Xenopus tropicalis: one gene and its partner. The protein of the gene in region 2 purifies or fractionates together with the protein of the main gene of each other region. This does not show direct contact. Links are inferred from orthologs where the notes say so. Each region holds a gene or a part of one and is shown on either strand. Other genes may lie near its edges.

Region 1 (4,216 bases), on a different chromosome or scaffold from region 2:
GTCTGAAAAGCTCTGCCTTTTAGGGCTATGGTAGCCATGATGCAAATTTTAAAGATAAATAACGGTAATGGGTAATTTTTCGTTCTTGGAACCTTAAAAAAATGGCATCAGTAGCAGGAATGTTAAATCAAGACACACATAAAACATTTGCAGATGTCTGTGCATTCATTTATCCCTTCATTGGACAAAAACTTGAGTGTGCAGATAAAGGAGTATTGCATCTCTGTACCCGAGTCAAATGGAGAGAAGGTAGGACCAAAGGCAGGGAAACCTCCAAACGTAGAGAGAAAGGAACCCCCTGGCCTGCTTCTGTTTGCTCTGTGGCCTCTTCTGCCAAAGAAGTCATCAAATGGATCGTCAGCTGGAAGAGAAACAGGATATAAATTACTCCCTGACACCAGTAATATAATAATACCTGTAACATTACAATCCTTAACCCGGCAGAAACATCTAAGATTAAAGAAAATACAAATATGTGCACTATACCAAATAAATCAAATGAAAATGGGTCTCTTCCCCCAAAGAAATCCCTGAAAACATCGTCTGGGCTTCGGAATGTAAATCCAAACTCATATGGATTATCAAAGTGACTGCCGCCTAAAATAAAAATAAGAAAGAACCTAATTAGCTTGAAAGATAGAAAAACGGCATTAGTTGTTCTTAATATAAAAGGTAATCAAATACAATTAAGGTTGCACATAGTACAGGGATATAGAAGCATGGAATATTGTGGTCTCAAGGAATTTCTGTGGCAATCTGATAGAACTCTTCGCACTGTGTAATTAGGCTTGGACTGCAAGAAAAGGCTGCACACTGTAGCTGGGTCTCAAGTGGCAATTAAATAGAGCACATTAGGGTCTCTAGCCAACTAGACGGCCCTGAAATGGATCTAAGTTGCATGGAAGCATAAATGAGGTATAAATATAGCGTTAAAAGTTTAAAATGAAACTAGCACTTACCTCCACCACCTGTCAATCCTTCTTTTCCATATTTATCATAAATATCCCTCTTTTTAGCTATAAGGGAAAGAAACAAACAAATATAAATAAATAAAATACAAGCCGTTTAGTCTAAGTGGAGTTAGCAAATCATTTCAGGATACAATTTCACACAGTCTCTCTCTGAGGCAGAACATTGTTGTGATGTATTTGTGTGTCTCCCCAGCAGCTGGGGACAGACACGGCTATAAATAAGCAATGCATTCCAACACACGAGGGCCAGGCTCAAAAGTGCCTCGCCGCGTCCCACCAGCCTCAACCAAACAAAACAACAGATCAGTCTAACCTGCTTACTGGACTAAGACAAAGCAGGAAGTGGTGTACTTCTCCTTTAAATAGGCTGCAAAAGCCGCTCTGACACTTTCTCCAAGCAGTATGACGGCTTAGCTACTAACATGACGTTTGTTATCTAAGTTTTATACCAGTGGCCAGCACCTTATTATGAGTGTAATACCCACAACAATATAGAAAACAAATTAACAAAGGATCCTTCAATAATCTACTTTTACCGTAAACCCCTTTTCAGCAGAAAGGGCATAATGACCATTTTTTTTAAAGAAGAAATGTAGGATAAGTGAAATCCCCCCTCAATCTTTTAGGCAATTATGAATAATATATGGTGCTTAATTCTATCTGTGGCCCCTTTATTGGAGCTCCTTATAGATCCTCTCAGGTCCCTGCCGGTGTTTCAAATAAAAGGTGGGTGTGTCCTAATCGTCCCTGGAGGAAGCACAGCCAACCACAGCCCTGCAGTCACACAAGCAAAGGCAGGGTTTAATTCTGGTTCCTATCCTACAATGCAGTGTGCCGAGTGCCGCCGGCCCCCCTGCACAGCCTGGGAAAGGAGGCAGCAGGGAGTGGAACAGATGGGCGGGACTAGTGGGGTTTTTGGAGAAATTTTCAATAAATCCACCTGAAACACAACTTTTTAAAGTACATTCCTTCTGTATTTAGAGGAGCATAATGCACTACCACATTCTTGTTTTTTACACAATATGTCTCCTTTAAATTCATTAGCTCAGTCAGTGATTAGTATGCTTAAGCCAAGCCTAATTATAAATATTGATAGGATCTATCACTCGTGTCAGCTGAATAACGATCATGCCATATATGAAAACAAACTCCTTGGGCAAATCGGGCGCCTAGTAAGGAAACAATTACAAGCCAAGGAAGTTGGAAGAGTCTTGGGAAGATACTTACAATCTGACAGGACCTCATAAGCTTCAGCAACTTCTTTGAACCTCCTCTCGGCTTCATCTTTATTGTCGGGGTTCTTGTCTGGGTGCCACTTTAAGGCTAGCTTGCGGTATCTGGAATACAAGTTGATTGAGAATAGGGTTTAGTAATTGGTATTGAAATGCAACATTAAATGCAACTTTCAAACTGCAAATAAGGTTCCGCCACACAGGGTGTTCCATATCTTTCCTCTAATTAATCCTTTCCCAGCCATGTTCTCTCATGCCTTTTATGTGCCTCCTCATCATCGTCATCATCATCAATCCCTCCTGAGTGGAAACCCCCATCAGCCTGTGTATGGAGCTGTCACACAATGGCCCAGTCATATCCTCAGCGTCAATTTAGAGAAATGGAGGGCACTCCTGGCTAAAATATCCTTGCCAAAAAAAATTTTATATACAAAAAAAACAAAGTATAAAGTATCCAGGTGCTATGGTTTTAATAATCCCCCCATAAGAGTGGATATCCTCAGCGTCAAACCAGGGAATACTTACGCTTTCTTAATATCTTCTGGAGAGGCGTTCCTCTGGACTCCCAGGACATCGTAATACTCCACCATGGCTCAGTAATGTGATGTAAAGCCTGGAAAGAATTCATAATGGCATTGAGATGACAAATTCAAATGCAAGCGGAATATGATAAGAGGTAGGTAAATCAATTAGAGAGTCAGGAACACATTGCAAAGATAAAGGTACTATTAATGCAAGAGTATCACAACATTTCCATTTTTTATTATTCTGTTGAACCCAAGCCTAAGGCCAGTGGCACATGTATCGCTGAAATATGCCAGTCAAAAATGGCCAGATACATCTCTGTGCCACCTGTTATGTAGATGAATGGAAACGGTTTGTCCCCAGCAGTGACAGGTAGTTTCCATTCATCTAAATGGCATGACGTTTCTCCACCAGATAAAATACTTTGGCTAATACTTTCTAAAACTCGCCAAGCAAGCATATCTTCTCCCGATATCCCCACCTATGGGTGGGCAATATTGGGCCAATTTGGTCGTTTGGCCCTGGGGCCAATCGATCAAATTAGAACGGCAGGTATAGGCGCCATCGGATTGGGGACAGCATCAACGAGCTGATGCTGTCCCTGATCCAACGGAAAAATCAAACCTGCCCAAGCGAGATCTGCCCGATTTCAGGGCAGATATCGTTGGGGCAGGCCCATCGTTTGTGTCCACACATGGGCAGATAAGCTGCCGAACTGGTCTAAAGGGCCAATATTAAAGAAAGCAAAAAGTATCTCCACACTCAAAACCAATAAGTAAAAAATGAAATTTATTCAATACGAAAAACACATCATAGCAAGTATAGTCAAACGCATTTCAACCCATCAAGGGTCTTCATCAGGGGTAAAAATTTTAAAAAGATATTGGCAGCTAGAATCGGCCCGTGTATGGCCACCTTAAGTGTCCAAAGCTTACAAATGTTAACCTGAAAATCTGTTAACTGTTACTAGTTATCTTGTTTACCCTTTTAATTTGGCTCCCTAGGAGAGCCTCTCAGTCAAAGCACTGGAATATTACACCAGGTGCTAAATCGCAGGGAGCACAATGGAGGAGCAGTGGGCAGAGGGGCAGCCTGAGACATAATTATGGTGAGATTTAGGCTAATTGCCCATTAATTGTTCTGGACAGCCCAAGACATAGAACTAGTAAGCAAACTTGATTACGCTGTCAATTGTCATGACAATTTACAGAATGGAAATTTGGAAACAAAAATTGAATATATTAAAAATTTAAAAATCCTGTTTTTTTATAAGGTGTTCGGACAGTAGATGTCATAACTGTATGTAAAGCAAAGCAGCTGTAGAAAAGTAGAAACAATGGCTCTCTTAGCAGTGATGGTAAAAGCAAGCCCTCCAGCTGCTGATGAGATATAACTATCTATTCTTGTCCTAACCCATTTCTGAAAAATTTAAAGGGGAACTCCACCCAAGCACAATATAATTTCAAGCAACTTTGCAATATAGATCAA
Region 2 (3,513 bases):
TTATATCAGATCCAACGCCATCCGACAAAAGTGCTTGTGCAGCCCTTCAGCTTCTGCATGCCATTATAATTATCTTTTTCCCAGCTGTAGGTAATGGTTTTGATTATCTCAGTGAAAGCTGCAGAGAATGGTTTGCAGGACACAGCCTAGAGTTAATTGTCTTGTAACAGAAATCTTAATCATAAACGGAAGAAAAACTAAACGTACAAAGTATTTATTTTCATTGGAAACATTAAATCACAATTAAGTTTTGATTGTTGCACAATACAGAATCTACATCATTGTATAAAATTAGTTCCAGCATATTTACTATGTAGAACACAATGACTATTCATGATTTAAAAAAATTACAATTTGTAATATTACTTTAATTGAATTATTTTCACTAGACCACTAAAGCAAACACAGCTATTATACAAGCCTCTGCAACTAATATAGTTAATGGGGGCATTAACTGAGATAAATATTTAACCAGTTTAATTAGAAATCTTTTTACAAATAATTGTACACATTACCTTACAAACATGCTGTGCTAGCTTATCTTTCCATGAACTGTGCAATATATATATTTCTCTCTCTCTATATATATATATATATAAATACACACTTCCACACATTTTCTTTGCATCATAGCCACCTATTAATGTCAATGCCCAAGGCGTTACTGCTACAAAATCTATGCAATTTCTTATTATGTAGATATAGATGTCTACAGAGTGGTGAGACACCTCCAACATAAGAGTCCAGAACAGATAGCTCATCCAAAAAATGCAGAGGAAACTCATGTGCATGTCTCAATCATTTATTTAGTGATCTCCTTGCACAAGATGGTTTCACACCATTGGCTGGAACACTTCAGCTTTTAGGTGACTGGTGCCGAGTCTCACTTCTCCCTGTAATAAATATATTGATTATTACGTGTGGAATTAGTAATTATTGTATTTTCCTTTCTATATTACCAACTCCTTCCCATAGTTAATAGTTCAGAATTGTTAGCACCCTTTCCTGGCCAAACCCAGGCAGAATCATACAAATGTGTGTATATTTACCTCTGGTGGTTACTGGCAAAGGAACCGAAGAATATACATCTTTAAAAGAATATTCTACCTTTTCCCAATCTGTCTTCTTGAATCTAGCAGAAGTGTGTGCATTTTATGTTAGATTTTCCTTTTACTCACTAGGTTTTTTTTGGAGGAGTGTCTGCTAAACATAATATTTGTATGCCTAAGGCAGGTTTCTAAAAACCATTCACTTCCCCATAAAGAAACCATAACTAACCACATTACTGTTCTTAATACATTTAAGTTTCTATGCTATTGCCTCCCATAGAAGCTTTTGTCTGTGTGAGTCTCCATAGGTGTTGCTATAGTGTTTATTTCTGTCAGTGGGTTTTTTCTATATATTGCCTCAACATTTTACAGCTCTAAACATAAATTAGTTTAAGAGCTGTGAAATAGCCTTAAAGATATACTGACACCTGAAACTTTTTTTTTAAAATATCATAACATGTCTTTGCATGCTGTTTATAATGTTGCCATAAAAGTATTTGCCCAATGCTTTTACATTACCTATCTGATCCCCTAAGCTCCTTTATGAGGGCTGCCATATTTGTACAACAGTAGTCCATTAGCATAAGAAACTAGAACTGACAGGTTGAGAAGGGACAGTCAGGGTTAGGAATTTCAAGTATTACTTACAAAAGCAGACATATCAATGAAAAATGATTTAGATGACCTAAAGGTAACTTTATATGAAGATTCATATTTTGAAAAGTAGTTTTTTTCATGTTGTGCAGAGCAGATGGGTACCTGAACTTCCTTACTTCTACATTATAGGGATGTACTTGTTTCAATAATAAATACATACACACTTTTTCAAATTTTTCATCTCAATATTTAAATAAAAATACTATGGTAAAATATTACAGTCTCACCTTGCTGGCAACTGCGGCTGGCTTTTGCTTGGTATATGTTTAACAGTTCTGTGTTTTGGAGCTTCTACTGCATTTCCTGGAAATGACTTAATCTTTAAAACCTCTCTTTGCCATTCATTATCAAAAGATGGCCCTTCAGCTGTGGGACAAAAGTACACAATCAGAACAGAAGTTCAAGCCATCATGTTTACAGAGATATGTGTTTCCTCTATCCAATGAGGAATAAATGTCTACATTACTGAAAGTGAAAATGTATCTTATTGAGTAACAATAGCAATATACATTTTTCTAAATACATAGTGTCTCTGTATTTTATCTAGATATACTGTAAGTAGTGTGTGCTACTAATATGGAAATATTTATTTGAGCGAGAAACTATTACATTGCTTAATCCACCACTTATTTTTAGACACTTTAATTTGACTTTTTCAAATAAAAGATTTGCAGCAGAACTGTCTAAAGAGATTTATTTGGAAATAGGATATTAGGTCTCATTTACCACTGCCCCAGACACAACCCACCAGCATTTCTGGGTGCTGCTGCTTGGGGCAGAGAGTTTATTCTCTGCATTATATGATCACAAAGTCCAGGTATTATACTTTTTACCAAGTCAGTTTGCAAGTCAAAATTATGTAGCACAAAAATAAAACATGCATCAAAAAGAATTCTACACACAGACAACTAGAATAACCAATCTGTGATTAATAGACTAGTGGTGGAAACCACAGATTGTGGTTGCAGTTCCATTTCTTACCATGGGCCCTATATTTTGTTAAATTTGTTTTTTGTAGGGGTAGCTTTTTGCCACTGCTGGTAATGTGCCCCTGACTCACAACCCAGTTTTGTGCCTGTTTTTGTTTTACATTCTATTGCACACCAACTTATATTTGGTGAATTATGTCCAAACTAGCAGTTTTATTAATGATCCACTAAAAAGTAAATTTGGTGATTAACATATTACCAAACAAATTACACAGATAATAAAATCAATGAAACCACCTTCTGTTAGTAAGCACAAATAGTATCTTTTGAAAGAAAGGTTAAAACCACAGCAGTACATTTAGGGGTTGGCTCTATTCAGCCCATTAAATAAAACATTTTTCATATAAAACATAATTTCTGCTTTATTAATGTTCACCTTCATCCAAATTGAGGAATTCTTGGTTGAGTTCTTGATCCCCTGTTTTGTGATTCCTACTTTTCTGGATAATGTGGGCTCTGTCATGGATGTGATGACCAATAGCCATTTTCTCAATTCCACTTTCAGAATCTCTTACAGCTTTCTTTGTCTCTTTTATCTGAACATAAAAAAAGAAAAAACATTTTCCAAGCAGTTTAAAAAAAATGTTTTTTTCATATGAATGCTAGTGCATGGTATGAAGGCCATATGGTATACCAGTATATTAATTCAATAATGCAGCATGAACTTGTACAGATAAAAAATAGTGTTGTGCTAACGTGGTGGCATGAACTGATATGCAGTACTATAACTTTAACATTGTTAATCAAGGGCTTCAATCAAATAGTACAAATGGTTTATTTATTATAGAAAACATCAGAGTGTTACTCAATGATATTTT

What was found.
Region 1: the proteins of mlf1 (region 2) and dnajb6 purify together in Homo sapiens (affinity purification with mass spectrometry; 3 studies listed by BioGRID and IntAct, counting the BioPlex papers as one, with this or other methods). This does not show direct contact. The link is inferred for Xenopus tropicalis from reciprocal best matches to the Homo sapiens genes MLF1 and DNAJB6.

Annotation. Positions count from the first base shown.
Region 1 is NC_030682.2:17,675,038-17,679,253, reverse strand, and holds the start of dnajb6 (dnaJ homolog subfamily B member 6), read right to left. Parts: upstream 2,807-4,216; 5' UTR 2,794-2,806; coding exon 2,729-2,793; intron 2,309-2,728; coding exon 2,199-2,308; intron 1,017-2,198; coding exon 960-1,016; intron 598-959; coding exon 487-597; intron 362-486; coding exon 230-361; intron 1-229. UniProt on the Homo sapiens protein: Has a stimulatory effect on the ATPase activity of HSP70 in a dose-dependent and time-dependent manner and hence acts as a co-chaperone of HSP70. Plays an indispensable role in the organization of KRT8/KRT18 filaments.
Region 2 is NC_030681.2:115,310,655-115,314,167, forward strand, and holds the end of mlf1 (myeloid leukemia factor 1), read right to left. Parts: intron 3,232-3,513; coding exon 3,072-3,231; intron 2,073-3,071; coding exon 1,934-2,072; intron 894-1,933; coding exon 884-893; 3' UTR 199-883; downstream 1-198. UniProt on the Homo sapiens protein: Involved in lineage commitment of primary hemopoietic progenitors by restricting erythroid formation and enhancing myeloid formation.